Linked DNA regions of Astyanax mexicanus. The protein of the gene in region 4 interacts with the protein of the main gene of each other region in a pairwise test. Links are inferred from orthologs where the notes say so. Each region holds a gene or a part of one and is shown on either strand. Other genes may lie near its edges.

Region 1 (8,341 bases), on a different chromosome or scaffold from region 4:
GAGCTAACTGTAGCTAATTAGCTTAGCCAGCCATCCTCCACTCGCTAGCTCGCTGACGTTAGCTATCTTACAGCGTTATTCGCCATTAACACGCTTTAAACAGTCTTTAAATACTGGTAAGACTGTTTAAAGCGTGTTAATGGCGAATAACGCTGTAAGATAGCTAACGTCAGCGAGCTAGCGAGTGGAGGATGGCTGGCTAAGCTAATTAGCTACAGTTAGCTTGATTACCTGCAGCAGCACCTGCTCGTTTAGAAACAAAACAAACACACAGCGCTGTTTAAGAGCTGATTAAGTATCATAATAAGACCGCGCTTCACCGAGAGCTGAAACAGTCAGCTAACTAAATTACTCACCGGGACTTACAGAGCTCCGCCGCGCTACGATAATCTATTCCGGCAGGGTAATCACTAGTGGTGCTGGAGGCCCGCTGGAGGCCCGCTAGTGCCGCTGTTTTAAGACTGAGGGGCTTTAAACGAAAACAGAGGAACAGGGAAACACAGTAAAGAGCACCGCAGCGGACCTTCAGCACCAGAGTGAAGAAATACTGGATTATTTGACCCAATATATAACTGTTCCCCATAAATCACAGCGAGGCTTTGGACTCCTGCAGTCCCCATGCAGCTCCCGGAAAAAAGGACGTCTTTCTTGTGGCTACTGATTCAGTGGAGTGGAGCCACGACCATTCAAAACTAGGTTCGGGGGTTTTTGTTGCCCGAAAGGTTTTTAATTTGTGTGTTTTAATATATTCATTATATGTTATATTGTATTAAAACGTGAGATATAAACGTGAATAATCATAATTTAATAGGAACGGTGAAATATATTATTTTAAATTATATTAAATATCATGCCTCAAAATCTCAGATCTCCCCCTCTTTTCCAGTGACTTTGGTTTCTTCCAAAAGTCTGTTGATGAGAGCACGGGCGGAGCTGGACTGGAGAAACAGGGCCGGTGTTCTGTCGAATTCTGCTACCTTGTCGAACCGTGCTGCCCCAATGTATATTTAACTGTAAAAATACAAAAGAAGCACTGTTTTAGGGCATGTACCCAGTGATATTCCAGTAGATGTACGTTATTAGATTTGGATTGCATAATTCATTGTACCATGGCAAAGTTATAGTAAATATAGCTCATTACAAACTGCTTTTGTATTTATTTATGATAATAAGTGTAAATTTTAGTTTCCATTTACACTTTTGTGCAATGACAGTGCGTCCAGGTTGTTTAATGCACATAAACCCCCCTAATCCAGATTAATTATACATAAAACACGAGAAAGAATTAAATTGTGTAGGTCGGCGCATGCGCAGTACCTTTGGGAAGCATGTATCGATGGGTAGGAAAATTGACAGAACACCGGACTAAAAAAACTGTTCTTAACACACCTTGGGCTGAACAGCTGTATTCACTCAGTCGCAGTTAAATAAACTCACTGGCCATTTAGGAATCACTTAGACCAGAATTATAATAGAATAAACAATAAAATAATAAAATGTTATATAAAATCTAAAAAAAAAAAATCACCAGTGTCAGTGGCTGTCTTTACACTACAAGCCTCAAGTGTTTTTTTATTTTATATAAATTAACCTTTTTGTCAAACAGCACACATGCTCTCAGTATTTTTTGGCTGCTCTGCCAATGCTGGCTGATAATGACAGCACTAAGGGCATGAATACTGGCAAACAGATGCATGAAATCCACAAATAAAGAAATATGAAATTTGCAGTGGCCTTTTTTATGCCCAATCAGTTTGAAGACTGAGAACATATGTCTGCACTCCCCTCCAAAGGAATTGGGCGGAAAAAGCATTATTAAAAGATGAATAATGAAGACTGGGAATTGGAAATCAGTTAATTACAACTTTGTCAGTGTGTCCAGGCCCGGAGTGGCTAATCGAGAGATTCGTGAGGATTCCCGATGGGCCGGCTGTGTCTGCTGTGTACCTTGGGGAAGATGTGGGCAGTTATTAAGGAGTATATCTATGCTGGTGTTTTACCGGAGTCAAGCTATCCGCGCTTCGGAAATTCCTAGTCAAGTCATCCGCGCTTTAATCTTTGATGGGCGTATACGCGCGATTTTACGGTAAACAGACGCGCAGGAGGAGAGCACACACAGAGAAGGGGAGACAGACACGTTTCAATCGGTTAACTTATATTAATTCAGACATACATTAAGCCCAGAAACGAGAAGAAAACGGGTTAAAATAACTCACCTCACTGTAGATTTTGTGCAGTACATTATCTATGTGATATAATACCATAACAATCCCATCGGTTTTTAAGAGAGAGAGAGAGAGTTTTATATTAATATTACTTTTTCAATCCATGCTTCAAATAAAATTTCTCATGAGTTTCCCAAAAGGCCAAAACAGATCCAGTACCTCTTAAAAGAGTCCATCCTAGACTATTACCTCTGCAAATTTGGGCAAATTGCACTGTATTGTTTATTTTATATTAATAAAAAAAATGTATGCATGTTTAAAATTAAATTTCTCATGATTTTTCCATAATGCCAAAACAGATCAATGACCATTTGAAAGAGTACAACATAGGCTATGACTCCTGCAAGTTTTGGCAAATGTCACTGTATTGTTTATTTTATATTCATTTTTTTATTTTTTATTCATGCTTAAAATTAAATTTCTCATGATTTTCCCATAATGCCAAAACAGGTCCACTACCATTTGAAAGAGTCTGTCCTAGGCTATCACCTCTGCACGTTTGGGCAAATTTCACTGTATTGTTTATTGTTTATTTTATATATATATATATATATATATATATATATATATATATATATATATATATATATATATATATATATATATATTTTTTTTTTTTTATTCATGTTTAAAATTAAATTACTCATGATTTTTCCATAATGCCAAAACAGGTCCATGACCATTTGAAAGAGTACAACATAGGCTATGACTCCTGCAAGTTTGGGCAAATTTCACTGTATTGTTTATTTTATATTATATTATTTTTATTTTTTATTCATGTTTAAAATTAAATTACTCATGATTTTCCCATAATGCCAAAACAGGTCCATGGCCATTTGAAAGAGTACAACATAGGCTATGACTCCTGCAAGTTTGGGCAAATTTCACTGTATTGTTTATTTTATATTAATTTTTTTATTTTTTATTCATGCTTAAAATGTAATTTCTCATGATTTACCCATAATGCCAAAACAGGTCCATTACCATTTGAAAGAGTATTTTCTAGCCTATGACTCCTGCAAGTTTGGGCAAATTGCACTGTATTGTTTATTTTATATAATTTTTTTTATTTTTTATTCATGCTTAAAATTAAATTTCTCATGATTTTCCCATAATGCCAAAACAGTTCCACTACAATTTGAAAGAGTCTGTCCTAGGCTATGACCACTGAAATTTTGGGTAGATTTTACTGTATTGTTTATTTTATATTATTATTATTTTTTTAATCCATGCTGTAAATGAAAATTCTCATGATTTTCCAATAATGCCAAAACAAAGAAAACAAAAAGGTCCACTTAACTGTTCCACCATTAAACTGCTCAGCATATTTCTAAACAGTCTAGTCTAGAAATCACCTGTTAAAGACACCTGTGCTAGAAACAGGGGGTGTGAGTTTAAAACCATCACCTTAAATCCAATACCTCAAGTGCAAGGGGCTATCTATAGTGAAACCTGCAGAAATACGCAGTGCTGATAGCCTGAGGAACTGATAGGACTGCCTCACAGTGGCCCTGTGATGGCTTATTGGAGAAAGACTTTACATCTGATACTAGCAAGTATTAAAAATAAACAAAACAGTGAAATTTGCCCAAACCTGCAGAGGTGATAGCCTAGGACAGACTCTTTCAAATGGTACTGGACCTGTTTTCAAGGATTCAAGGAGATTTTACTGTCATTCGTATCACATTTGGTTCATGAGGTGGAACGAAATTGTGATCTCACGATTCAGTTTACACCCAAGAGCTGTTGTTAAAATAGATATATAAATAAAGTAAGACAACAAAATAAAAGAATACAATAAAAATAGAATATAACAAAATGAAGATAAGATAAAATAAACAAAACAGTACAACTTGCCCAAACTTGCAGGAGTCATAGCCTAGGACAGACTCTTTCAAATGGTCATGGATCTGTTTTGGCATTATGGGAAAATCATGAAAAAAAAATATTTTAAGCATAAATAAATTTTTTTTAATTATTATAAAATAATCAATACAGTAAAATTTGCCCAAACTTGCAGAGGTGATAGCCTATGTTGTACTCTTTCAAATGGTCATCGACCTGTTTTGGCATTATGGGAAAATCATGAGAAATTTAATTTTAAGCATGAGTAAAAAATAATAAAAAATTAATATAAAATAAACAATACAGTGAAATTTGCCCAAACTTACAGAGGTGATAGCCTAGGACAGACTCTTTCAAATGGTAGTGGACCTGTTTTGGCATTATGGGAAAATCAGGAGAAATTTAATTTTAAACATGAATAAAAAAGGGAACGCGGTGTGTGTGTGTGTGTGTGTGTGTGTGTGTGTGTGTGTGTGTGTGTGTGTGTGTGTGTGTGTGAGGTGGAGAGAGAGAGTAACGCACAGTGACACAGGATAAGTAACTTTAATCTGATTACTGCATTGGATATAGTAACACGTTAGATTACTCGTTACTGACATCACTGGACATAAGTACGTAAAGACATGTGACGTGGCCAGAAGAACACCTGCGACCGACACCCCAGTTTTAAAATTAATATATTAGGCTTAGCAGGGATGGTTGGCAGGGGCGTAGCAGCAAATTCTGGGCCCTGTACACTCTCAATGTCAGTGGGCCGCTATCCATGCCAGTACACAAGGAACATGAGCGAAAAAAAAAAATCTGGACTTTTCATGGGCCCCTCTCCCTACTTCCTTGATAGTCAGGTCCACTTTTCCTCCCACTACCACGCCCATGTGGAGTGTTACAGACAAGCAGCTCTCCAGCCCAGAAGGTTGATGAACAAACTTGCAGAACAGTAGATCTCAAAACAAGATGAAAGGAGAAAAAATAAACAGAAATGGGATTGAGCCGTAGTGTACTTGTTACTTGACTTCCCACCTCAGGCCAGGAAGAGGACTTTTATTTTGAAGTGTGAGCCGCTGCGTAGGTCTCTGTAGCTAGGGAACCTGCGCAGACCGATTATTTATGGAAGCTAAACTACATGACTGCAACAGAATTAACGTTAGTGTTTTCGGTGTCATTGCGGTTATCTGTTGAGAAATTTAAAACGTTATTTAATTAACTAAAGGTACGCTAAGCTCATTTGTGCAGCTCTGCGGTTTCCATTTCTGAAATCCAGTGGAGAGAACAGCTGCAGTAAAGCTAAACCCTCGGCTAGCTTGCAGGGCTAGCACAACAGCGGCTTCAATATGGAGGAGATCACCAGGACGCCCTCATATCTCGACGAGCCCCCAAATAGTCGGTTGTTTCTTGTTACCAGCAAATCCATCACCGAAGATATAATCCGGGAGCATTTTTCCACTTTCGGAGACATCCAGGACATTTGGGTTGTAAAAGACAAACACACGAAAGAGTCGAAGGGCGTGTCGTTTGTTAAATTCTCCAAGTCTTCTCAAGCATGCACTGCGATGGAGGAGATGCACGGTAGATGCCTGGCTGAAGGAACCAAACCCATTAAGGTGTGAATTTATTTCCATTTGAGTTTTTTTGTTCTCCGTTTTATTGTGGAGCGGTTTGCATTCTATTGTAGCTAGCTTAGCTGAGAAAGCTGTTATGGAAAAGCTCTGTCTCCAGTAGGGCTATTATACGCGATAATACCGATAATATTTTTTAATATCGTGAACGATATTATACCCTGAAATATCGTGCTGTCACCCACCTCTAATTATCACTTTTTATACTACTTTTTTTGCAGTGTTAAGCATATAAAAAATCACACTGTTCTCATTTCCTTTTATGTATCTACTAGAGACGTGTAAGATTGTTTTTTTTTTTTTCTTATTTTAGAATTATTGATCTTAATCAGTCTATAATCACTCTTAATCCGTCTATAATTTCCCCCTTAGTTTACAAAATTAATTAAAAATAAGAACTGGATTCTTGAATCCAAATGTAAGCCAAAAGATCAGTGATATTTGCCCGATTAAAGTCTTACTTCAGTCATTTACGAAACTTTTTGTCTAGTTTTTTTTTTTTTTGCCAATGGATTTTTTACAGTGTAGTCATCTGTTTTTTTTTTTTTTTTTTTTTTTTTGCTTGAACAGGTATTCATTGCCCAGTCCAGGTCTTCTGGAAGCCACAGAGACGTGGAGGATGAAGAGCTGACCAGGATCTTTGTAATGATCCCAAAAACCTTTACTGAAGATGATCTGAAAGAGACTTTTAAGGTACTACCTGGACTAGGGCTGCATCAACATGTGTGTTTGTGACATACACAGCTGATGTTCAGTAATAACACTTTTATTTAATATTTATATAATCCCTAAACTAGAACCACCTAGTGTAGCATTGTGGAGAAATTTTTTAGATTTTTGCTTTTACATGCTTCACACAAAATTGCCATTGCAAAGCACAAGAGTGTGCCCAACTAGAAACAAGACACAGGAGAATAGGGGATAGCTCAAGGGCAGATTTTATCAGCTGCAGTGACAAAGCTACTAGAGCTTGAAAATAAAACGTTTCCTAACAAAAAACATTAAGCAAGAAAACATTGATTTGCCTGGAGTGAAGATAATGGATGGCAATGAAGAAAAGGAAATAATATAATGCACTAAACTAAGAGTAAACCCAAACCTCGGCCCTAAGTATCTGACTAAATTTACAATAAGCAGTGGCAGCCATGTATCTCTTAGTGTCTCTAGACCAAATCTCCAAGGCTCCATAAGCTTCCTAAATAACATAAGTTAAAAAAAACAATGTGGAAACAATATAATAATAAAAAAAATCTACCCCTTCTTCAAACAGCTGCATCTGTCTGTCATTAGGTAGAGTGTTACAGTAAAATAAAATCATAAACATGGCACAAAATAGGAAAACTGAAAGGGAGTGAGCAGAAAAAAACAACCCAACGCTCCGACACGTAACAAGAGGATATGGAACGAGAAAATGAAAGAGTAAAATTAAGAAGTTAATTATAAAAGCCTGGCATCGCTTAAACATCTTGCTCTTCCAGAACACAATAAATCTGTCACTGAATATTTTCACACTTAATCAAACCTTTAGTGTGATTATCTGTCTTATGCACTGTTATTCAATCCCAATAGTAGTAGAAAACATTGTAAAGGCTTATTGAGTGTCTATGCAGGGCAATGATTATTAGGAACACACTCTAGCTCATTTCAGCATTTTAGTGATTTTTTTTTTTTCTTCTTCAATTTACTGATGAGTGGAATCAAGTGTGCTTCAGCAGAATAAAACAGTGTCTAACTCCTACTGAACAGGAATAAATGACCCCTGGTTTCAGTTAGTCTCATTAATATTTTCTGTCAATAATCATATGGCTTTAGATTAATCATAATTGAACACATTTTAACTATAGAAAATTCATCCTCTATTTGCTATTCACTTGTGTGTGTTTGTGTATGGGCTCTGCGTGAAATAAAATCTCAACAGAACTTGTTCTAGATTTTATAGTAAGTTAGTTGTATTTCACAACCATGATGCATTCCATTGTTTTTCCTTTACAGCCCTATGGAGATATCGAGTATGCAATTATTATTAAAAATAAAACTACAGGGGAGAGTAAAGGACTGGGCTATGTGCGGTTTCACAAACCCTCCCAAGCAGCCATGGCTATTGAAAACTGTGACAAAAGTAAGCGGCATGATTATTCTTTTCCTTTACAATTAATCCTGTTATCCTGTTTACGAACGATCCTGTTTAACAATGAAAATTTAATGGACCTTTTTGGATTCATCCAGGTTTTCGAGCCATACTTGCTGAACCTCGGACAAAAAATTCATCTGCCGAGGGAGATTGTCTCACCAGCTCAAGACCGGATCATGTAGCAAGCGAGCAATGCTTAAGTGCCTATTCTTTTGGTAAGTATTTAGCTCATGATAATGCAGTTACTCTGACAGTTTTCTGTAAGGTAAATGTTGTTTTTGAGAAGGATGTAATAGCAAAAAACTATATGATTTGATTTGATTTAGTTTGTTTCAGTATGCATAATACATTACTTTTAAAATACAAAATTTGAATATAAAGAAATTTGCAATTTGACTAGGATTTGAAAAATGATTTAAGAAGATTCCTGAAGGGGGTGGGGGTGTGCTGTTGTGGGTTGTTAGGGGACTTAGGTGTTCAACATACAATGTGAATTTTGGTGTTAGTATTAGACAATCCTACTT
Region 2 (8,277 bases), on a different chromosome or scaffold from region 4:
CACATAACTCAAGTTCAGATGTGGTGCAGTACAGATTCATGAGTTAGTAATGAGTGGAGCTTCATTTGATGTGGTTTCTAGGTATGTACACATTTTTATAAATCTCTCACCAGGAGGTTGTCACAGATACCACAGGCTATCTTGCCCAGTGTGTTTGCATCCAGTGGAGCAATGACTAGCAGGTTGGCCCATCGCCTCAGCTCAATGTGCAGCACGGGGTCAGAACGCGTCGTCCACATCTGCAACACATACAACTCACAAGAAGATCTTCTCATGACTTGGAGCAGTAAATCTGTGTAAAACAGGCAGTACTCACCCCCCACTCATCTTTGTCTGTGTAAACACGGACAGGAACCTCAGCAAGGTCGTAAAAATGGGTGGCATGGTCTGTGGTGACTACACGGACATCAATCTTCAGAAGAAAAGTCAGTATTTGACCCATTAGATCCTTTAAAAATGCTGTTTAACTACTGCCATTAAAATCTAAGCAAAGTCATTTGAGTGGCCTGATGTGAATTGTGGTGTTTTAAAAAGAAACCTAATGGGTCAGGATTGTTCACTGTGGTAGTGATAAAAAACAGATGTCTGAAGAGCTCAGCGCATCTAAAAGCTACACCAGAGAACACAGGTCTCCAGGTCTGCTCACACATATCCAACCACAATTCATCCAACCTGATACAAATAATAAATAGTAATAATTTAAACATACTTGGTTAGCTAAATGGGGTGGCTTAGAAGTTCATTATTAGATTGAATGGTTATAAATAAAGAACACAGGTGGTCATTTAATTGTGATGCAGACATTAGTTCAACTTTAATGCATAATTTCTCTGAATTTCTACTGTTCGACTGTATGATAAATTATCCTCTTAAACTATTGAATATTTAAAAAAAAAGCATAACAACTGTCATATATTTTTTATGTTTCCTGACATACTTATTTTTGGAATGTGTTGATGTAATTGACATTTCAAGAAATTAACTTAATATGTCAATGTTGATTTGCCACTGAATAACAATCTTTCCAAGCTGGAGGCTACATTTACTTAAATAAAATCTTTACGATTAAGGGTTGTCCCCAATTGCTAAGTGATTCGTAAGGGATTTACTATAATATAAAGTTAATTGTTATTAAAAAAGACTATGGCCTTTAAAATTAATTTAACTGTTATATGTTTTTCATGTGTTTCCTGAAATACTTGTTTTAGGAAGGTGTCGATGTGATTGCCATTTCAAGTAATCACGTCAATGGTGATTTGCCACCGAATAGCACACTGAACATAAACAGTTAGACTATTAAATTTAGTGTTTTCATGCAGCGCCCTCTGCTGGATTAATCAGTCTAATACGGAATCAAAATGTTTACTGATTTCTCTGACTATAAAAACACAAAACTATTAACCCAGCTAGCTAAATTAGATTAATTCGTTTACTCATGTTAACCCCTTAAAATGGCCTGTCCTCTGTCCCAGCAGTAAAAATACTTCTACAGGTCACTTGGAGAAGCTGCCTGTTTCCTTTCTACTCCATTTAATAATTCCAGATCAGTAACAGGAATCAACCAAAATTCTGCACGTTTGAAAAAAGATGTAAAAACTAGTCAAACATAACAAAACATAAACATAAACTGTTTGAATTGTATTCAGGAAAATATTGATTGAATTTTAGGAAAGTGCTTTTTTTTTGTTGCAGATTTACTTTCATTTTTTTTTGTCTATTACAATTTCAATTAGAATTTGAAGTAACGTTTACTATCAAACATAAAACCTTTTTTATGTAATGCTTGAATAGAAAATTTAGGTGTGTAATATCAGGCAGAAAATTGACAAAAGTGCTTGCCTGTTAAGAGATTAACTAGTTAATACTCTAAGTTACTGTTTAAACTAATAACCCAGTCTTATATAAACCTACCCCTGGTATTTCAAGTAGCTTCGACACCAACAAAGGCAGTTTCAGCGCTGCCACGCTGCCGGTCACACAGACAAGAACACGGAACCGCGACCCGCTGGAGCTCAGGTCCGGTACCAGAGCCGGGAGAACCGAGCCCGCCTGCATTATTAACTGTAAGTATAACCGAGTGAACCGAAGAGGAGAATAACACATTCGTTCATTTCACATCTAAACTCTGTCTCAGTATTCACAGTCACTCTTCATTAAACTGTGTCTCCGCTCATGATCTACAGCTCTGTTAAACCGCGTTTGCATAATCTATAATCATTTTAACACACGATAAAACAAAACCACAGTTTAAACAACACTGAGGCTGCGTCCAGAAACCCCAAAAGTGTCTCCTTTTTCCTACCGATCCTCCTCCTCTCCTCCGTGACCCGGAAACTGATTTCGTGACGCCATCTTGCCGCCTGTCCGAATACCGTAGGAGACGAAAGAAGCCGCTTAAAATCCACCTGTAGTAGGCTTCCAACGGAGGTTACATCAGTGTATCCTACTCCGGAAGACTTTTAAGGATTTTCCAATGACATCACTGCATCCACGCCCACAGAGCACGCGAAAATGGGGAAGGCAACGCCCAAATATACGTCATAAACATATTAATTAACTAGGTTCCTTATCTAATTAAACAGCCAGTAATATAATTTATAGTTTAGATAAACTGTATGCTCAGTAAAACTATATTTATGACCCTATGTGTATCATGTTATACATATAAAAACATATATTATTTATAATATATATATATTTTTAATTAATTCATTTATTTACTTATTTATTTTAACTTAGGGACTGATGAGGAACTGAATCCCTCATAAGGCTGAGGTCAGACAGGGCTGCCAGGGTCACTGGTCAGAGATGCGGCCAAAAATGCGGCTGGGAGTAAACAGGATTTTATTGGAATATCTGAATTTTTAGCTGTGTGTGATAGTAATGTTCTGAAACTTGCTGAAAGTGAGCGTCGTGATTGGCTCAGTTCATTGGTAGTCAACATCCTATCTAAAAGGGATCAGCTGTCCCATTTCCCCAATTACAGCTCCTTCCCTCCATTCCTCCTCCTCCTCTCCTCTCCTCGATTCCTCCACCTTCTTCCGGGGTAGGAGAGGAGGAGTAGGAAAGGAGGAGTAGGAGAGGAGGAGTAGCAAAAGTTTCTGGACGCAGCCTGAGGCTTCCCCGAGCTCTCAGAAAGCGCTGTATCTGTTCACTTCCGTCAACACTGCTGAGATAGGCGGAGTGAAACTGAAACAGCGCTCCTAGCGGCCCTAGGCTTCACTACACCAACACGTATCAACCCTGTATTAACCCTTTCAGACCTAAATTATGTGACAGTGATGGGAAAATATAAACATTAATAATGCTGTGTTTTGTCTGTAATTCACACTAATATTCTAATATTAAATCTATATAAACATTAAATAAGTAACTGTTTTTATTTCTACTGGATTGGAAGCCTGTACTTAACCCTAAACACTAATTTAAAAGCTTTTTAAATCTTCCTAGTGCTGTTTTTTAGTGTAGTGAGCGGGGCTAAGCTATTGTTTCATTGGCTCGTTTATAGTCTATTCTGATGAACAACAGATCTCAATTAGTGTGCAACAAAACATTTGAAAAAATAAGAAAATACATTATGTCCTATAATATAATATATGGTCTCAGTAGTGTATAGTGCAAGTTTTTTTCAACTTGGGAAGTCTGCATTTCGGGCTGACTAGGTATTCTCCTCGGTGGAAGTTCTCTGGTGCAGTGCAGTACTGTACCACTGTACTCCAGCAGCGCGGCTACGTGCGCGAGCACAGCGCCTCTTGGCGGCGCAGACACGCGCGCACTCGCTTCACCGAATATTCTGGTGCTCGCGCTGTCTTCCGGCAGGGCGCTCGGTATGTATCGGCGCTCTTCATCCTTCATTCCCGAGCTGTAGAGGAGACGGCAGCACTCGCCCGCGAATCCCCGCCATGCAGACCCTCACCCCGCACGTGTTCTGGGCTCAGCGGCACGGAGATATCTACCTGCGGGTGGAGATCAGCGACGCCAAGGTAAGCGGAGCTCCTCCCTCAGACTGCGGGGCTGTTAACCTAGCTACAGCCGGCTAGCCACCGGTTACCCGCAAACACCGGTCCAACAGCGATTCAACAGCTTACTTAACGCTATAAACCTGTACACACTTAAATAAATGCTTATATAGACAGTAATGGAGCTGCTCCGTTTCTGCGTGCGTGATTTCTGACCGTGTTTCAGCTCTATCCGCATCATTTCCTTCTGCACTCAGTTAACCTAACAGTTTAACGTTACCTAGTTAGCTAGAGCTAACGTTAGCTATTGACAATAAGAAACGAGCTACAGCTATAATATCAACCATTAACCTCGGTTTACAGGTGGGATGTGTGTAACTTTAAATAATACTTTTTATATAACAACTTTAGTAATAACTGTTAGAAGTGAAGTATGAATAAATAGACATTATTAATCTAGTGCAAAGTATGGGTTCAAAGTCTGTGTTACCCAACAATCACCTGATTAAAAAGGCACACGCTATTTCCACCCAGGTGTGGGTTATCAGTGTGTAATAATTGCGTCTAGGTCTTAGCCTGTACTATTACTAAAATATTTATATGGAAGTCAGTGTACAAAAAAAAAACGTTTGTTCCAAGTTATTAACCATGACGTTTTTACACAATTTAAAGAACAACTGAAAAATTCAAATTATGTAAAAAAGAAAGAAAACAAAAACTGAGATACAAAGTTTTGCATGATGGTGACTATTGGCATTGTACTTTCTTAAATCTGCATTTTAGTTTCACAATTTAGCAACTAGAATCTCTCTTTTGTTCGAATACAATGGCCATTTTAAAATCCAAGAACCGATTTGACTAATCTTTATTTTAAAAGCTTGACATTGCTTAACTACCACACTAATGCATAAATCCTGGGCTCTACAAAGATATTTTGCTGTATTTTACCCACAAATAAGCTTTTTCCAGTAATTACTGCACTGCAAAAGTTTAAATTAAGGGGTGCAATTAGCCCCCCTGTGTTGCAAATGCTACTTGTACAAAGTGCAAATAGTCACTGCCTTAAAAGAAAAATGACCAGATGTCAAAGATGTGAACCACCTGCCATCTGGTCCAGTCCCAGTTTCAGGTCATGATTTATTTACAGAGCACTGGATGGGAACACCAGGCTTGTATATAGGGATTGTTGTTTCCCTGAAATACCCAATACCTCTTACCTTCCCCCAACATTTGTCATTTACACACTGCAGCAGACATTCAATTGTATAAGGAGACCATCTGCTCAGAAGCAACCATACACTCTTAATTATTTACTTTTGTTAAGCGACTAATCTGATGATTATTTTTTCGATTAGTTGATTTAAATTCCTAGAAGATGTGTGAATGTGGAAAGTACTGATATTTAGTGAGTATTATTATTTTAAAAGAACCATATTCATTAAAAAAACACTTACACAGTGCATTGGTGGCGCTTCTTAGACTTGCAACTATATTAGGAAGCAATATCTTACCATACACTAAAACAAAATACTATTAAAATATTAAGAAAAAAGTTGGTTGGACTCAACAATCTCAATAATGTTATTTTAAGACCCATATAACTAAAATATCAGTCAACGCAGGGAAAGCATTTATTTGGGTTAATTAATTTTGTCATGTTTTTGCATATTAACAAAGTAGGCCCATCACAGTAATTGTGTAGTTTATTGTGTAGTTGTTTAGTTTAGTTTAGTTTGTCATCATATCATATAATTTATAGATATACAGTTACTTCAATCTTTTTTGTGGACCTCAGTGTTGCTCCTTGTATTTACATAGAAGAAGAACCTAATCATGTGAATAAGCTGGAATGTCGACTTTTTGTTTATTTAGGATGTTTATATTTCTAATATCTAAATACTCTTAATCATTAAATGTGCCTGGCTCTTTAAAATTTTAATTTAATTTAAATTTTAATTTACCTACATAAAAAAGTGTAATTAATTACGTTAAGGTGCAATAGCATTATGATTATATTAGTGAAGCTCTTAAGTTAGCAATAATATTTACAATGGGAACAAAACAAATTGTCCACAAATTGTCATATTGTCACAATTTTAATGGTGTTCTTAATTACAGTATGTTCTACACTACATATGTAGTCACAGCAGACTCTGATAGTGGTTGTATTGTTTTGCTTCCACAGAACGGTTACAGGTAGTCCTGTATTGTGTATACAGGTTTAATGCAAATAAGGATAGCGCCAAAGGCCTTCAGGATAGGCTGTTAATCTTGGCGCAGTGTTGCTAGGTAACTATTTATGGTTCTTTACACAACAGAACTTTAATGATTTACAAGTTGCACTCAATAACCATAAATAATTTTTTAATGCAGATAAAACTGAGTTTGTGTTATTTTGTGTGGTATTAACTCACTATCTTTACCAAAGATGGAACACACATTTAAAAAGACACTGTGTATGAAGATAGCCTGAAGATTAACCTGATCTGGTAGATGTTATAAAACTTATCTTGTGAGCAAATTGTGAAAAGTTTTCCCTTTATTGAAATAAAACTTGCTTCCCCTCTGCACTGTAGAAAGATGCTTATTAAAGCAACTTTCCTTTTAGCTTTTTGAATTATGGTGACCTGCTATGCATGCATACACTAGCTTTAACTCTCAGGCCGTTAGACTTTATTACTCTTTAGTTTGTCACCTTGCTCTAAGATTCACTACCTGAGACAATAATACTACTCATTGTTGTAAGCTATAGGTTAATGTTGGGTGTCCATTTCTGTGTGAAAGGCTGATTAGATACTGGAGTTTATTAGATTTGTTAGGCACTTCTGTTTTTAACTCATTACATGACATCTTAATTCATACATTTGTGGTTGCTGTTGCTGGTGCCAAAACCTTTAATTTTTAGAACGGTTGTTTGTGATAAGTGCTTCACTTCATTTTTATTGCTCCATACAATTGGTTAAGAAGAACCATTGACATAAAAGCATGATGTGTTGAGGCCACATCTATCCTGCTGTGTATAAGTGGATGTGTTTGGCACATGTGTTCTCATGAAATGACTTGCAGGTGGTACGTTGAAGTCTTAGTTTAAGTTAAGATGGTACATGGTCTAAAAAGTGTAAGAACCTCTAAACTAAACCAATGAACAGTCCTAGAGTTTGCCGTTGTTTCAGGTGTGATAGTAGTTTCACCATTCATCTTGAACCTATGCAATAACAGCACTGACCTGTATTTTTGTTCATCTGTATTTAAAGTAGTAGGCACAAAATGCAAAGCTGGAACGCTGCAGGCGGATCTCACACACAGTGATGTTTGTTTCTTTTGCAGAACCTGGACATTAGTGTTCAAGAGAACGTCCTCCGCTTCAGAGGTAGGTTAGTTTTGCCTTTAATAGAGCTACTCTATGAATCATCTCTCATGATTTTAAACTTTATTTTGTTGTTTTTCAAGGCCAGGGTCATGGAGCCAAGGGAGAAAATGAATATGAGTTCAGCTTGGAGTTCCTTAAACCAGTGAAACCTGAGGTGGGTTGAGTTTCTCTTAATTCATGAGGAATTTACTTTCATTTGACAGGGAAGATGGAAACATTAATGGATAACATTGGAAAGTATAGCTATAGATGTTTGCAGATGTTGTTAGAAACCTACAGTGTGGGTTTAAGACCTGTTTATTTGTATCTAGTGTTCAATAAAAAAAAAGTTCTCTTACATTTGAACAGGCACAATTTGGTTAAAATTGAACAGTTTCCAGGTGATCCCTTGTACAGCTTTTTGGCATTTTCAGGGTGCATTAAAATGTGTTTATAGGACTGTTGAACTCATTTATATAAATTATATAGACATTGAAGTTGGTCATTGATGCTTAAAATACAGCCTTGTGCCAAATTTTACTTGTAGTCAGATTGTTAATCAAAATTACTTAACAGGTCCACTGCTTGTAAAATAACTTTTGAGTTTATGTGCACAATTTCTACTTATGTGCTCATTTTAATAAAAAAGCATATTTGTGATATGTACAACAAATATAAATGTGGCTATTTAAGCATTTTATGTTTTATTATTTTGCAGCATATTAAATTATTGGGAAAATTATCAATTATTTTCACATGTAAAGTCAACAAAACCTGTCCTTTTGAATTGTCTAAACTTTTGTACACACCTCTAGTATATGTTGTTGTTGCTGTTTTTTTTAAATAAAGGTAAAACACAAGTCCACCCAGAGGCAGGTGAACATCGCCGTAAGAAAGCAGGGGCATTGCTGGTGGGATCGTCTCACTAAGCAGGAGAAGAAGCCTGTGTTTCTGGCCCCTGACTTCGAC
Region 3 (7,646 bases), on a different chromosome or scaffold from region 4:
CATGAAGAACACTAACCAACTACACAGTTCATTACAAAGAGTGTAATAAGTCCTGTTAAATTAACTGGATGATGTGCTGCACAATTTGAATACAATTTTCCTGTGCTAGGCATGTGAAATTATATACATAAAAAGCTGTTTTTAAGAATATGTTCCTACCAATGCACTTTGTTTTGCATGTCAAAACATTAATAATAATAGTAATAATAATAATAATAATAATATCCTAGTTAAAGTTATGCAGAGAAACAGACAGTCAGTACGCAATTATAGAATTACAAAATGCTTGCCTTTAAAAATCTCATAAAAAAGACAGTTTAGGAACAATGAGCACTTGTGTGGATATTTATAAACCTACACATGTGATGTTGTTAATTTAATGCAATTTATTTTTTCTAATGGCACAAAAAATCTTCAGCATTTTTATTATCCTTTAAACTGTCTTTATAAACAGCAAGTACAATCTAATGTTAATCCTAACAAACCAATTAATATATTTAATTATTGTTCCAAACTAAGGGACTCCATGGACCTTACCCTGTCATGGAGGAAGACGAGAGCCTGCAACAGGTCATAAATGCCTGCACAGATCTCTTCTGGCGTGAGACTGTCAAGCAGCAACTCCAACGGCTTAACTCTCTCCGTTACCAGGTGAATGCCTCCATTCTGTACAGAACAAGAGAGGAACCGCAGCAGGCTTGGGTGCCTCAGAGTCTTCAGGTGCTAAAAGGCAATAGGGAAAAAGCATAACTTCCCTCTGGGACACCGATAATGACAATGCTCAACATGGACAAAGAAACATATAAAAGATTCACATCTGTGACAAGTCAGGGTTCTGACTTAATATACCTTGGCAGCTTTGTTGACTTTGTCTTCATTGCCCTGCTTGTAGACAAACACAGAGGCAGCCTTTCCATCCTGTAAGATGGCAGAGTACATTGTGAGTCCTGAAGGCAGCGTCAGCAACGGCTCTTCCAAGATGCAGCTCCGCAGGGCACTGCTCTCTGCACCCATGGTTGCAGCCAACTGCTCTGTCAGGGAAAAAAAAAATAGAAAATTCTGCCTGACTTCCTAGATTCCACTGATGACTTGTTGCTCTTATTGAACATACGAATTAAGAAATCTAAAATTTTAATTAAATCTGTCATTTAGGTCATTCTTTGGTTTGAAAAGCTCAGTTCTTGTCAAAATTGTTTATTTTTGGTAATAGGAACCAGGCATCCAGAGTGTTTAATGCTTGAAATGGCTGGATCACATAGAGCTATCACATTAAACAGTTTACATTAAAATGAGAAAGTAGTATCATGAGTAAGAGGAAGATGCAAGGCCAAATAGCCAGATAATTACCATTATGGAAATAATTGCAAAGTAAATATGGCACAAATATTTATATCACAGTGTTTAAAGTCATTTAATAATACACAATATTTAGGCCAACATTTTGGCATACAGACAAAACGCATTAAAACTGACAGACTCTCTGCAACTGCTGAGAAAATGTACTGCTTTTCACCATAATAGAATTTATCACAATACCATAAAATATATTGTACTATCGCCCACCCCTAATTGCATCATCGTTATTATACCAACATATAAGCCAGGTGTGTAGTGTAAACTGAATATCACTGGAAATACTGAATATTATTGGAATTTTCATTTAGAGCTGTGTGAGATGCGCTTTCTCAAAATCAATTAGGTATGCTAGAGTAGTGTGGTTATGTTCTGGGACGTAAGAATTAAAATACTTATTTAATAAACCTACTAACCTACTTATGTTAACAAAAAATTAACCCGAGATAAAGGCGAAATATACATTTATAAAACACGTTTAACTGACATCATGAATGGTAAGCCTTTGGAAATAAATGATAAAAGGCTTTATTTTTGTAACAAATTAAATTAGCTTCTGAACTTCCACTGCTGGTAGAGGAAAACAGACATTGCCAGTAAAAAAAAGCACAGCTTAGCTAGGCTATATAATCTAGTTAAAAATATAAATATCCTACTGAGTGACCAGTACCCGCAAGGCCTATTAGCTAATGTCTGACAAGAGACTAGCTAACTAACTTCTGCCTCTCACTGAACAGGAAGCAGACTGTCCAAACTGACAGGTTAACGTTAACGTTAAAGTTAACGTTAGCTAACGGGAGTTAGTTATGTTTCTCAAATACACAAGAGATTTAGACACAGTCTGTCTCTCTCTCTCTGATTTCTAAAGTGTGAAATGTCGTTTAAAACAATAGAGTACCTTGTCACCCAGCGGGGCACTAGAGTTTGGTAATCTATGGCCTGTAACTTAGTTGGTTAAGCTCTCTTAGCTGTGTAGCTATGCTAGCTACCAAAACACCACTGAAAGTCTATGTAGGCTAGGCTAAGCTAGGCTAGCTACCAAAACACCGCTAAATGTGTATTTAAGCTAGGCTACGGTAGCTACCAAACACCGCTGAATGTCTATATGTAAACTAAGCTAGCTACCAAAACACAGCTAAATATGTCTATATGTAAGCTAAGTTAGGCACGGACACGCTACACTAGCTATCAAAACACAACTAAATGTATATGTCAGACAGGCTAGGCTAGGCTAGGCTAAGTTCCTCCGGCTGGTACCTGCGCGGCCGTGTCGCTTCCTCAGCTCAGTGAATCAGTGGATTTCTCCGGCGGCTCCCATGTCGACCTGACCTGCAGCTCTACACTCCGGCTCCAGTCAGGTCAGGTGGACTCTCCGCAAACTGTTAATTACCGAGAGCAGACACAGAGCTGCTGTGATAAGCGGCAGCATTAACACATCCAGCCTACTCTCTATCCCCGCAGCCCAGCGCACATCCTGTTCCCCAGTCATAAACACCGGCCAACCGCCCGCCGGGACCGAACCATTCCCCCAGCGCCCTGTTCCGCCCCTCTCTCTCTCACACACACACAGCGCGCGGTACTGGATTAATCCTTACAGACACAGGTCTGTAATTTAGTACATCTACAGTCGAGAACTTTGTTCTGAACTTTAAAAGACTAAACTAGCGCTGTCTCTTTCCCTCCAGCAGGGCAGCAGTGGTACATGCCGCGGTGGTGTGAGCGAGGCTACAGGTTGGACAACACTAGACTTCATGCAGGTGTCAGACGCTCACAAGCACAGGTGTCCAAACCAATGGAGGAGTACACTAAACATGTAGCTACTGAAGCTAAAGAAGAGAGACACAGAGTAACATACACTCTAGTAAAATTAACCCAAAAGAGTCCATGGTGAGGTATGTGTGACAGCTCCTTTAAAATCTGTGTAAAGTTCTCTACAGCACTCTCTCCTTCACCTTAACTTATGAAGTTCCTAAGTGACATACAGTCAACACCCTGCGACTTTGCAAGTTCTCCCATTCTAGAAATGTAGAAGTGGAGGGGTCAAACATTTTCATCTTAGGTCCACTGTTAGAGACGTAATCTAAAAAAAATCTGTAAATCACAATGTATGATTTTTTAATAATTTATTTGTGTGTTACTGCTGCAAATAACTATCCGAACACCTACCAACCTTGTGGCATATGATCCTAAAAAAGATGAGGAATCAGCCCAGAACTACACGGGAGGAGCTGGTCAATGACCTGAAGAGAGCTGGCACCACTGTTTCCAAGGTTATTGTAGGTAATACACTAAGACCTCATAGTTTGGCACAGAAGTCATGTATGGCACAGAAGGTTTTCCTGTTTAAATTATCACATGACCAGGCTCGTCTTAAGTTTGCCCATGATTATTTGAATGATCCAGAGGAGTCATGGAAGAAAGTTCTGTGGTCAGATGAGACCAAAATAGAACTTTTTATCCAGGACCTGTAGTTTGTTGTCAGTGTCAGTACTCCTGTTGAGGTGTTTATCTCTGGGCCGATTCCTGCTTTCAAACGGGGTAATGAGCGCTTCAGCCGGCTACTTATGCTGAACAGCTGGCTTTCCTCCACCTGTGCCCATCGCAGGGTGAATTTTATTGACAATTTTAACATCTTTTGGGACCGTGGTGAACTTTTTCGACAAGATGGGGTACACCCCAATTCCCTTGGATCTCGGCTTCTGCACTCAAACATACTGTACGACATCAATCATGCAACATGGTCTTGTATTAACAACAGACCAGAAAACCCACAATATTGTGTTACACCACCTCCTGAGGAGCGAGAAGTCTGACATGCTAGAAACCATGCTACGAGACTGTCTACTATCCCAGTGTTATGCAATAGCTGGTGGCATGGTCGTAAAATCCATAAGAACACTCTTTACAGATCAGCTAGGTCTAATTTAGTTACATTAAAGCCAATTGAACAAGTAGAGGTATCACAGGTATTAAGTGCTGCAGTCCTCAATGTTAGATCATTAGCTAGCAAAGCCTTTTTTAATAGGTCAAATGGTTGAGAACTATGAGCTGGATATCCTCTTTTTGACAGAAACCTGGCTCAGCAGTGATGACAATGTTGCTCTAAATGAATCAACCCCACCTCAATACTGTTTTTTTAATGTTCCAAGAGTCAATAAGAAGGGTGGGGGAGTAGCATGCATTTATCATAGCAAGATATGCCTTATACAACAGAGGTTTGGGGAATATAGTACTTTTGAGTATCTTGCAATTAAGTTTAGTGGCAAACAGTCTTTTTTAATTATTATACTTTATCATCCACCTAGATATCACCCTGCATTTCTTAATGTATTTGGTGATTTATTAACAAAAATAATGACTGACTTTGACCATATCTTATTTACAGGTGATTTTAATATTCATTTTGATAAATCGTCTAATCATATTAGTCGTGATTTTACTATGCTGTTAAATTCTTTTAATCTTACACAGCATGTAATTGGCCCTACACATAAACATGGCCACACCTTAGATTTGGTTTTAACGTTGGGGTAGAGACTAAGGTGTTAAACATACTTGATGTGGCACTTTCGGATCATTATTGTGTTTTCTTTACCTTTTCTGCGCATGCCAGCTTTAAAACGACTAGGAAAACTAGTACAAAGCGCTACCTTACAGATGACTCAGTGTCAAGTTTCTGTGATCTTTTTAGCACTTTATCACCTATCAAGGCTACTTCCTGTGACAGACGGGTAGATAGCTTTATACTAAGATTAAATGAATGTATAAATACTATAGCACCTCGAATTACAAAACAGAGGCACAATATTCCTAAAGCTCCGTGGAAAAATTCTGCATCAATAAATAAGTTAAATATAGATTACCGGAAAGCAGAACGAAAATGGAGACAAACTAAACTTACTGTGCACTTTGAAATTTTTTAAAATCTGCAAATTGAATTTAATTCACAAATCAAAAATGCAAGGGCAGCCTATTTTTCAAGTCTGATTGATAGGCACCAGAATAATCCTAAATTTCTGTTCTCCACAATTGACAAGTTGGTTAACCACTCACCTCACATTTCACTAGAGCATTCTAGTCAAAGTCAAAGTCAAAGTGGTTTTTATTGTCATTTCAGCTATATACAGAGTACACAGTGAAACGAAACAACGTTCCTCCAAGGACCATGGTGCACATAAACACAGTGTAGACAGAACAATAGTGCAACAGTACAAAAGTGCAGACAGACAATACAACACAATACAGACAAAGAATAATAAATAACAAGACAGTGTGCAAATTTTGCAGTGTGCAAAAAAGACCAGGTGAGGTAGTAATTACTCTATTACACAGTGTGCAATAGAGTCCAGTGAGGTAGTAGGGTTTTTAGTGCTTTCCATTTTCTGGGGTAAGTGGGGTAAGAGTGTGTGTGCATGTACAGAAAAACCATCAGTTCAGTCTCTGCAGTTAAGGAGTCTGATGGCTTGGGGGTAGAAGCTGTTGCAGAATCTGGTCGTGCTGGACCGGATGCTGCGGTACCTTCTTCCCGAAGGCAGGAGGGAGAACAGTTCGTGTGAGGGATGAGTGGGGTCATTCACAATGCTGGTTGCTTTGCGGATGCTGCGGGTGGTGTAAATGTCCGTGATGGAGCGGAGAGAGACGCCGATGATCCTCTCAGCTGTCCTCACAATACGCTGGAGGGTCTTGCGGTCAGAGACGGTGCAGGTCCCAAACCAGGCAGTGATGCAGCTGCTCAAGATGCTCTCAATGGTCCTTCTAATCGCATATGTGATGAATTTGCTCAATTCTTTGGCAGTAAAATTATCGAAAAGGTAGTGTCTCTTCAGCTTCAACAATATTTAGATAGTAATGATTTGAATGCAACATTTCAGTCTGGTTTTAGAGCACATCATAGCACAAAAACTGCTCTAACCAAAGTTCTGAATGATCTCAGATTAAACAGAGATGCTGGAAATTTGTCTATAATAGTTCTTCTTGACCTTAGTGCTGCATTTGATACAGTCGATCACTGTGTGTTGCTAAACTGTCTAAGAGACTGGGTTGGTCTTACAGGTATTGTCTTAAACTGGTTCCGGTCATACCTGTCTTGTCGTGAATATTATGTGACATTGGGTGAAAGTACTTCTACTCACGGTGTTCCCCAGGGCTCAATTTTAAGAACAGTACTTTTTAACCTCTACATGCTTCCTCTGGCTAGAGTTGTCAGTAAATATAATATCTCATTCCACCAGTATGCAGATGACACTCAGTTAAATATGTCTTTAGCTACTGACCCCAAAGGTTCTATTGATTTAATTTTTGACTGTTTAAAAGACATTAAGTCCTGGATGACTTATAATTTTCTACAGCTCAATGATGATAAAACTGAATTTATTATCATTGGAAATGGTAGCGAGCGTATTGAAGCAGTATCTTATTTAGAGTCCCTATCAGTAAAAACCCAAGACCATATTAAAAATCTTGGTGTCACATTTGACTATGACTTAAGCTTTAAACGGCATATTAGTAATGTATCCAGAACAGCATTTTATCATCTTCGTAATATAGCTAAGGTCAGACGTATTTTAACAGTAACTGACAGTGAGAAACTTTTGCATGCATTTGTATCATCACGCCTGGACTACTGTAATGCACTGCTTGCTGGTCTTCCTAAAAGCACTATCTCAAGCCTACAGAGGGTCCAAAATGCAGCTGCCAGAGTATTAGCACGTGTGAAGATAAGGGATCATATTAGACCCGTTCTTAAAGAGTTGCACTGGCTGCCTGTATCATATAGAATTGATTTTAAAATAATATTGCTTACTTTTAAGTGTTTACATGGTCTTGCTCCTTTATATCTCTGCAGTATGATTGAGAGGCATGTACCTTTAAGGTCCCTCAGGTCGGCAAATAAAAACTTGCTAACGGTACCCACCACCCGGTTAAAGAGTTCCGAGGCTGCATTTTGTTGCTACGCCCCTAAACTCTGGAACTCTCTCCCAGATGACCTGAGGGCCCTTAATGATTTAAACATATTCAAGAGGAAAATTAAGACTTTTTTGTTCTGTAAGGCTTTTATTTGAGCTACCTTACTTCAATTATTTTAAAATTTCTTTTTATGGTTATATTTTTATTTTACTGGACTCAAGTATTGTTTTGAATAATTGAACTTCTACACTTTGTGTGTTATTATTTTCTGTAAAGCACTTTGTAAACTGTGTTTAAGAAAGTGCTATATAAATAAAGTGTATTATTATTATTATTATTGGTTAAGCTATCTCTTAGCTGTATAGCTATGTTAGCTACCAAAACAC
Region 4 (7,791 bases):
GCATCACCTCAGTAAAGGGCTGTTTCAAAAAAAAAACATCAAATGACACTAACAGCTAGCAATTAGCACTTACTTGCCTTGGCTGTGTGTAGAGCTGCGTGTAACACTTTGCACTAGGCCTGCTACAGTGCTCCATGTTGTGTCACCATGATGGACAGTTGAGGAAACACTAAAGGCAGTGTTGGAGGAGGCAGAATGCCGCATTTCATTTTAACTGGGAATTCTGAATTTCCTAGTGTGAAGAGGAGTTTTTTTTTACTAGAACACTCCTACAGCTCACTTGCCAAATTTATAGGGACGATCGCTTCTGATAACGATGTCATTCCCTAGTTTTCTGCGTTTCAAACCGCTTTCACTGTTAGCATTGGCCCAGGTTAGCATTGCTACTATAGATGTTGTAGAGGCAGCCATTGTGGATTGTGAACTTGGGGTTGGTAAGGTTCTCCCAACTTTCCAGTTAAAATTTCTTATTATAATTAAAAATTTACACTTCCAATTTTAAATGAAATGCAGCAAACGGTCTTCTTTTTCTCTGTCTCGTTTTTCCTCTGTTGGCAATCGTCTTAACACAACATGGAGCACTATAGCAAGCGCTACACGCAGCTCTACATGCAGGCGAGGTAAATCAGATCAAGAGACAAGCACAGCGCAGTAAAAAACAGCCGTCACGTTGCCCTGACGCATACAAAGTGGAGAGCTTGCACATAGACCATTCAAGTTGTCCACACATCACTAAAATTTCACAGGCGCTAGTACTGTCTCTTGCTCTCATTCGTGCTGTCACTCCTGCTCTCTCCCTTTTTCTAGTCATTTCACTGTGTTGCTCTTTAGGATATGCTTTCCCTACTACTGCAGCTATATACAGCAATATTCAAACAGCTGAAGCTGCTTAAATTGATTGGCTTATCAGATCATTGAGAATACGTACTGGGCGTGGAAGTCTATGACCACAGGCAGGTCGCTGTTGATGACCCTCTCTGTGAAGTCGTCTTGGTCCTGGACATTGAAGGAGACGGCTCTATATGAGATCAGAGGGAGCGAGTGAGAGCGGGCCAGGAGAGGCTGTGGTCTGGGGGAGTGGGTTAGCGAGGAAGAGTACGATGAAGAGGCTGAGACTGTGACAGGCAGGCGGCGGAAATCTTTCACAGTGACGCTCCAAATTCTCCGTGCGAGGAGCCGAGTAGCCATCTGACAGAGGAGAGAAGAGAAGCACTGATTATGATACTGAAAAGAGAAAATCTCTCTTTTTTTAATATACGAGTGATTCATTATTACAAATTACATTTTTATTTATTTTTTATTTGATAAAATGGACAGCACAATTTAAAGTGCTGCGCAAGCTATTGTATATTAAACATGGTGTAAACATAACCTCCTTGTATTTCAGTTAAGAAAAACATAAAGATATGTAAATCCCTGCCACATTCTGTTATTTACAGGTTTGTGACAGAAGCAAATCTCTATCTACTGAGATTCCAATGGCAAAGATGTACTCCATTATCCCACTTCAAAAATGGCTTTAAAACAGGAGTTTACTTAATCAAATCAATCTGATTAATCTCTAAGCCCCAATTTATTAATTACAATGCTATATTTATGACCTACATGGTTGTATACACGTGGTAACTGTTATCAATAGTTCAGGGAAAAGCATGTACAAAACAAAGGGTTTTCAGCCATAACAACATCTCTATGTTATGCTAAGGAGAGTCTCCCATTCGCTAGACCTTCAAGAGTGTACGACTGAAGGGTCGTACACACAGTCTCAGGAGTTCAGGAAGTACCTAGGTTTATGTTGAAATATAAATTATCGCTCCTCTTCTCTCTTTTTCTCTCTCTGTCCTTCTCAAAACCACACAGAGATTAGGTTTTACACAACAACAAAAGGTTTAGAATCAATACTGAAATGTACACATGCTCGTTGGTCACATCGCAGGAAGTGCAATGTTTTGTGAAATGTCAAATATTTTTTTTAAAAACCTCATTGCTCTTATTTGACATAATCTAACTATTATACTGTATATTCTCAATAAGACTTGTTGTACTATAATTATTGATGTACAGATTGCTTTTCTTATATTATGATGTTGCATGATTGACTTCTAGGTGCTCCCTTAAAATAATATTAATAATATTTATATATTTTTTATGATTGTTTAAATATCCTTTTATACACTGCAGAAACACCATACAATCTATTACAATAGAATAAAATCAAAATATACATATTCAATGTATGTAACATTTTATACAAACAATACATATAACATCTAAATGTTACATCAATGCACAAATACATCAATTCTAATGCCAGAGATCAAGATTGCTTCAGTGCATTAGAGATGAAAAATGAACACTGGTTAAACACTTATTCTCTGTACAAACTGGGTCTGTGCCGGGTCAGTCTATGCCGTGTCTGGTCTGTGTTGTGTGCTGGGTCTATATAAACTGTCTCTTTTTGTGAAGGGTCTGGTCTGTGCTAGCACTGTATAAACTTTGTCTGTGTTGGGTGTATGAAGGTTCTATGCTGCGTTTGTACAAGCCGAGTCTGTATGGTGTTGGGTCTGTCTGTACAAGCTGGGTCTGTGAGAGGTCTGTCTGTGTTGGGTCTGTCTGTTCTGAGTCTGTCTGTGGCGGGTCTGTCTGTTCTGAGTCTGTCTGTGGCGGGTCTGTCTGTAGCGGGTCTGTCTGTTCTGAGTCTGTCTGTGGCGGGTCTGTCTGTGGCGGGTCTGTCTGTGGCAGGTCTGTCTGTGGCAGGTCTGTCTGTTCTGAGTCTGTCTGTGGCAGGTCTGTCTGTTCTGAGTCTGTCTGTGGCAGGTCTGTCTGTTCTGAGTCTGTCTGTGGCAGGTCTGTCTGTTCTGAGTCTGTCTGTGGCGGGTCTGTCTGTTCTGAGTCTGTCTGTGTCGGGTCTGTCTGTTCTGGGTCTGTCTGTTCTGAGTCTGTCTGTTCTGAGTCTGTCTGTTCTGAGTCTGTCTGTGGCGGGTCCGTCTGTTCTGAGTCTGTCTGTGGCGGGTCTGTCTGTTCTGGGTCTGTCTGATGGGTATCTAGCGGGTCTGTCTGTGCTGGGTCTGTAACCCCCCTCCCCCTGTAACCTCCTTGACTTTGCCCCCCGCGTGTCTCGCGCTTAGTCTCGCGCTCAGACTCGCGTCCGGCCAGCAGCACGAGCGACACGTTTTACCGCTACAACGACGGGAATAAAGTGTTAAATGACGGTAATTCCCGCGCGGTACAGGTAAAATCAGCGCTACTCACCTTCTGAAGCTCCGCTTGTAAACACTGACTGGCCGCACGGACCCTGGAGGTGAACTGTTTCCGCGAGCGTAGAAGCGGCGGAGTTTGGGCCTCGTGCCCCGTGCAGCTCCGCCGCGCGCCCCAGCGCAGTATTACACCCGCTCACACCGTTACTGCAGCCCGTACACCGACCAGCTGTTCATTACCCAGCGCGTGCACATCATTACCTGACACTGTTCAGCTCTACAGACTGACCTCGGGCTAGAGATCTTTAATTCCTGCCGCTGTAAGGCTGTATAACACCTCTTACTGATATGTTCTTAGTAGGCATATTCTATATAGTCTTGTACATTGACCTAATTGCAAAAGTAAGATATTTAATTAAAAACATAAATAAAAAAATACCCAGAACTCTGAAAAAGTGGCATTTATTACCTGCCCCCCTCTCCAACTATAAACTTTACCATGAGATATAATTATTAAAATCCTTCACAGATGTAATTTTTTCACATTGTTGTGTGACTCCAAATCCCACATATGCTTATTTTTCCCCACTATAAATACAGAATATTTAAGTTAAAATACACATTTTAGTTGTGTCCCTAGGTTATCACTCAGTCCTGTTATCGTAACACATTACCCCATCTATACCCATATATTCATGTGAATATTATTTAATGTAAACCACTTTTTCCAATTTTGTTTGGTTCATAATTTATCAATTGTTTAAGAAATTGCATATTCATAAATTTGATCAATTTCAGGTTTGGGTCTTCTAGATAAGATAAAATAGCAATGCGTCTTTTAGAAAAATATGTGCATGCATATAGATTGATTTGTATGTCATATCAGTTTTTTGAACATGCAGTCAACCAATATTTTTAAATAAACACTTTCTTGAGAGAAAATCAAAGGAATTAGCGAACTTGCTTTTAAACATGATTTTTAAATGTCACTTGAATGACTGAAAGAAATGTAACCATCTTCGATCAGAAACCTTGTAAAAAATTAAGTAAAGCTGCCTGAGTTTGATCAGTACATGTATTGAATAGTTAAATACATGTGTTACTAGATTCAGAGTTGACAAAAGATAAAAAAAAAATTAAGGAAGAGTTACAACAAGCAAATGGGACCCATTCAGTGGAATGCCCCTGTAGTGTTTTGTGTTTTACTGTTAAGAGTGGATTGTATACTGATATGTGTTGTACAGTTGTGTTATTTGTGTAAAATGAATATGCCCAACTGGGGATTAATAAAATAAAGTAGTATCAATGCTTATTTAATTAATAATTTATATTAATTTATAATAATTTATTTAACTTATAAACTAGTAACAAAACAATATAATTATTTTATCAACATTCACGTAAACACTCGAGAACAAAACAAAGTAATACTGATATAAGGTATTCTGGTTCAAAGAGAACAATCTAGACTGTTTTGAGCTTGTAGTGTTAGGTACAATTTCTGAGGTGTATGAAAAAAAATGTGTTTTTAATAGTAGACATCAGACATACACTATATTGCCAAAAGTATTCCATGGTCACAGGTGTATAAAAGCAAGCGGCAGGCATGCAGTTTGCTTCTATAAATGTTTGTAAAAAATTAATTGGTCTTGTGGTACCATGATAGAATACTAAATATTCCATAGCATTTTTATAAAAAAAATTCATATTTTCTGCCTTAATATGGAAGGCCAATTACAGCCCCCAGTCACTATCACTAGGACGGTTTTCTAACTGCCACTGATGCAAACCCAGCTCTGAAACATTAGCTAACGGATGCCTGTACTGACTAGCATCAATGGGAGTGATGAGGGGAGAGAGCGCCACCTACTGTAACCACCCAGAGAGAGAGTGACCTACTCTACTCTCCTGGACTCTGGCTGCTGATGGAGTCTGAGAGAGTGTTCCATGGGATTCTAACAGGCGATACTCAGATCATAGTGGCAGCACTTCAGTCCACTGAATTACTTGGAGCCCCATGTAACCATTTGTTTGTCAGTTATGACTAAATATATATATATTTTTTTACCCTGTCACACCATTCAATTTACCATCCTGAAGAAATTACGCTCCACATTAAAGAAAACTGGACACAATGTGTAAAAAGTTAAGTTTAATATTCCTTTATATGTGTAATAATGTGTTCAGAGTAAATTAAAAGTACATATTAAAATATTTAATGTTAGACACTGCTTGCATTAAATTTATGAAACGATATCTGAGATAATTAAATAGCAAATAAAGGAAATAAACATATTACTTTTATTAAATAGTTCGCTTTTCACTAGTAATAATGTTCAGACAGGGGAATTGGAGCTGCAGCGTTTTGTGAACCGTCACCCTAGTTTCAAACCCAATCCAATTTGCATAATTATTTAGGAGGCTTAAGGTCAACAGCCTGTTGGGTTCTGAACTCCAGACCATGTGCTCTCTCAGCGCCGTTTACTCTTTACATAAATATAACGAATTAAAGAGAGGTCAGAACCTTCAGCATCCATCCCTCCCTTTATCATGCTGATTCCTGCCCTCCACTGACTGACCACTCCCATTCATAATTGATGGAGGGAGAGACTTAAAAGAGAAAACAAGAGTCGCCCACCTTTTCATCTGGGAGAGAGAGCAAGCTAGGGATAAAAGAGAAAAAGAGAGAGAGAATGAGTGAGCAAGTGATTGAGAGAGAGAGAGAGAGAGAGAGAGAGAGAGTGAGAGAGATTTAGAGGGAGAGAGAGTGTAGAAGTGGAGGATGTAGAGGCGGTCCTGGGAGACTCCATGGTAACGGGAGGCTGAGGCTGCCGTGGTTTTTCTGAAAGGAGGGAAAACATCAGAGCCGTGAGTTCTCTGTTCATCCTCTACTCTCTCTATTCTTTTCTTTCATCCTCTGTTCTTGGCCTAGTCTGACTGTGTGAGGAATCAGTGTGGAGTGATTTCTGGTGACTGGGATGTGGGTTGTGGTTTGTTTTGTTTTGCTCAGTTTTGTCAGTTTGCCAGAATCACGTATACCTCTCTGTCCATCTCTGTGTCTGTCTATCATTTTCTTTCTCTCTTTTTTCAGTCCTTCATGTCCTCGTCCCTAGTATTACGTTTATTCTAGAGCAGGGGTTTTAATCAGGGAGGGCGTGAGAGTGACGCTGTACTGTGTAACTGGAATTCGAAGTCTTAAAATGTGTCAGTTCAAATGTTCAAACAATGATACACTATATCTACCACCTATACTGAACTTTTCAGTTTTTAATGTAGTACTTTAGTTTTACTGAACATAACTTATATATGATTACATTTGACCAAGATTGAGGCACAATCCAGCACCCAGCGGCACCTTAACCCTCTCATGCATGAATTATAATAAACTCAGTCAGGATTTTTTTTCTAAGTGTTTTTATACATCCTTAGGGATGTAAAACAAGGTTTGAAAAAAATATATATTCTATCTTTATTCGATAAAGAAATATTTATCTGTCCACTCAAGTGTACTTCATGCATTTTTTGTTGTAAAAAAAACACAAATGTAATTCAGTTATACAGTTGTAATATGGTATTCTGTTGGAATAGTGGAACTGAGGAGGATATTGTGACGCAAGAAAATGTCTCTGAACCGTAGAACCTTATAGAATCTTGATTGTGACTGGTATTATCATACTGTATTCTTGTCAAGTCTCTGAACTGTTAAGTGAGCATATTCTCTTATAGTATTTTATAGCATGTATCATATTTCCTGTCAAATCATGCTTGTTGCTAATTTCTGAGACTATTTTCTATGATGGTTGCCAAAGCATACAGGGCACAAAGCTACAAGACACTGCATGCAGATGTACTTGGTTCTTCGTGTGCTGGCATTTTATACTTTCTTGAGCTGGGGCCAGTGGTTTCCAGGGGCATACTGGATATTGGGGTGCCCTTAGTTTCAACAGCGTCATCTCCTTCATCTCCGTTCCTCAGCCTCAACTCCCTCAGTAACATTTCCAGACTCACCTTCACTATCACTGCTTGACCCTACTTCTCTGCTTGCAACTGTCTGTACTGGCAGCCATTCCTCAATTAAAGAAGTTGATTTACAGCCAAAACATTAAACAATATGAATTATTTTAAAAACAACACTGGAAGTAATTGACATTGCATTAAAGTTGAAAAATAGCTAATGATGCATGATGTACAATTAAGTGGACAGATGATTAATCTACAATTCCCTCAAATATAAAATCAAAATTTCGAAAATCTTTACATAATATGTCACCTTAGATGTTACTTGATGTAATTATATATTTTTTTACCTGCAGTGATATAATTTTATAAAAGGTAGAAACAAAAATAGCCAAGGTGTTTGGTGGTTTTCCCTGTCTGCCGGCCATCTTGATTTCATTGACTTCTTTTTCCCATTACAATGACCAACCAATGGGATTTTTTTGTATAGGATGATGCAATAGCTTCCACTACAGTGGACTATATGCAGCAGTGCCCAAAATTGCAAGCATATTTAAAGAAAAAACAATTTTAAACAGCTGTACACTGTAGTGACCTCTATGCATGAAAGGGTTAAGGACTGTAAGAAAAATACCAG

Evidence for each region.
Region 1: the proteins of txn2 (region 4) and rbm45 interact in binary tests that used the Homo sapiens proteins (3 or more experiments, as listed by UniProt). The two-hybrid records come from large-scale screens. The link is inferred for Astyanax mexicanus from reciprocal best matches to the Homo sapiens genes TXN2 and RBM45.
Region 2: the proteins of txn2 (region 4) and ppcdc interact in binary tests that used the Homo sapiens proteins (3 or more experiments, as listed by UniProt). The two-hybrid records come from large-scale screens. The link is inferred for Astyanax mexicanus from reciprocal best matches to the Homo sapiens genes TXN2 and PPCDC.
Region 3: the proteins of txn2 (region 4) and scyl3 interact in binary tests that used the Homo sapiens proteins (3 or more experiments, as listed by UniProt). The two-hybrid records come from large-scale screens. The link is inferred for Astyanax mexicanus from reciprocal best matches to the Homo sapiens genes TXN2 and SCYL3.

What each region holds. Positions count from the first base shown.
Region 1 is NC_064418.1:32,369,039-32,377,379, forward strand, and holds the start of rbm45 (RNA-binding protein 45), read left to right. Parts: upstream 1-4,988; 5' UTR 4,989-5,401; coding exon 5,402-5,671; intron 5,672-6,256; coding exon 6,257-6,379; intron 6,380-7,678; coding exon 7,679-7,805; intron 7,806-7,912; coding exon 7,913-8,032; intron 8,033-8,341. UniProt on the Homo sapiens protein: RNA-binding protein with binding specificity for poly(C). May play an important role in neural development.
Region 2 is NC_064416.1:23,550,429-23,558,705, forward strand, and holds the start of ppcdc (phosphopantothenoylcysteine decarboxylase), read right to left. Parts: upstream 3,145-8,277; 5' UTR 3,113-3,144; intron 2,258-3,112; 5' UTR 2,104-2,257; coding exon 1,912-2,103; intron 413-1,911; coding exon 317-412; intron 240-316; coding exon 111-239; intron 1-110. Other genes in the region: hacd3 (very-long-chain (3R)-3-hydroxyacyl-CoA dehydratase), read left to right, coding at 3,903-3,983, 7,287-7,329, 7,410-7,483, 8,158-8,277. UniProt on the Homo sapiens protein: Catalyzes the decarboxylation of the cysteine moiety of 4-phosphopantothenoylcysteine to form 4'-phosphopantotheine and this reaction forms part of the biosynthesis of coenzyme A.
Region 3 is NC_064408.1:58,394,710-58,402,355, forward strand, and holds the start of scyl3 (protein-associating with the carboxyl-terminal domain of ezrin), read right to left. Parts: upstream 3,046-7,646; 5' UTR 2,611-3,045; intron 1,032-2,610; exon of another isoform or gene 1,027-1,031; 5' UTR 1,015-1,026; coding exon 850-1,014; intron 724-849; coding exon 538-723; intron 1-537. UniProt on the Homo sapiens protein: May play a role in regulating cell adhesion/migration complexes in migrating cells.
Region 4 is NC_064410.1:18,705,152-18,712,942, reverse strand, and holds the start of txn2 (thioredoxin, mitochondrial), read right to left. Parts: upstream 3,361-7,791; 5' UTR 3,253-3,360; intron 2,918-3,252; exon of another isoform or gene 2,848-2,917; intron 2,803-2,847; exon of another isoform or gene 2,743-2,802; intron 2,728-2,742; exon of another isoform or gene 2,654-2,727; intron 2,653-2,653; exon of another isoform or gene 2,613-2,652; intron 1,189-2,612; coding exon 929-1,188; intron 1-928.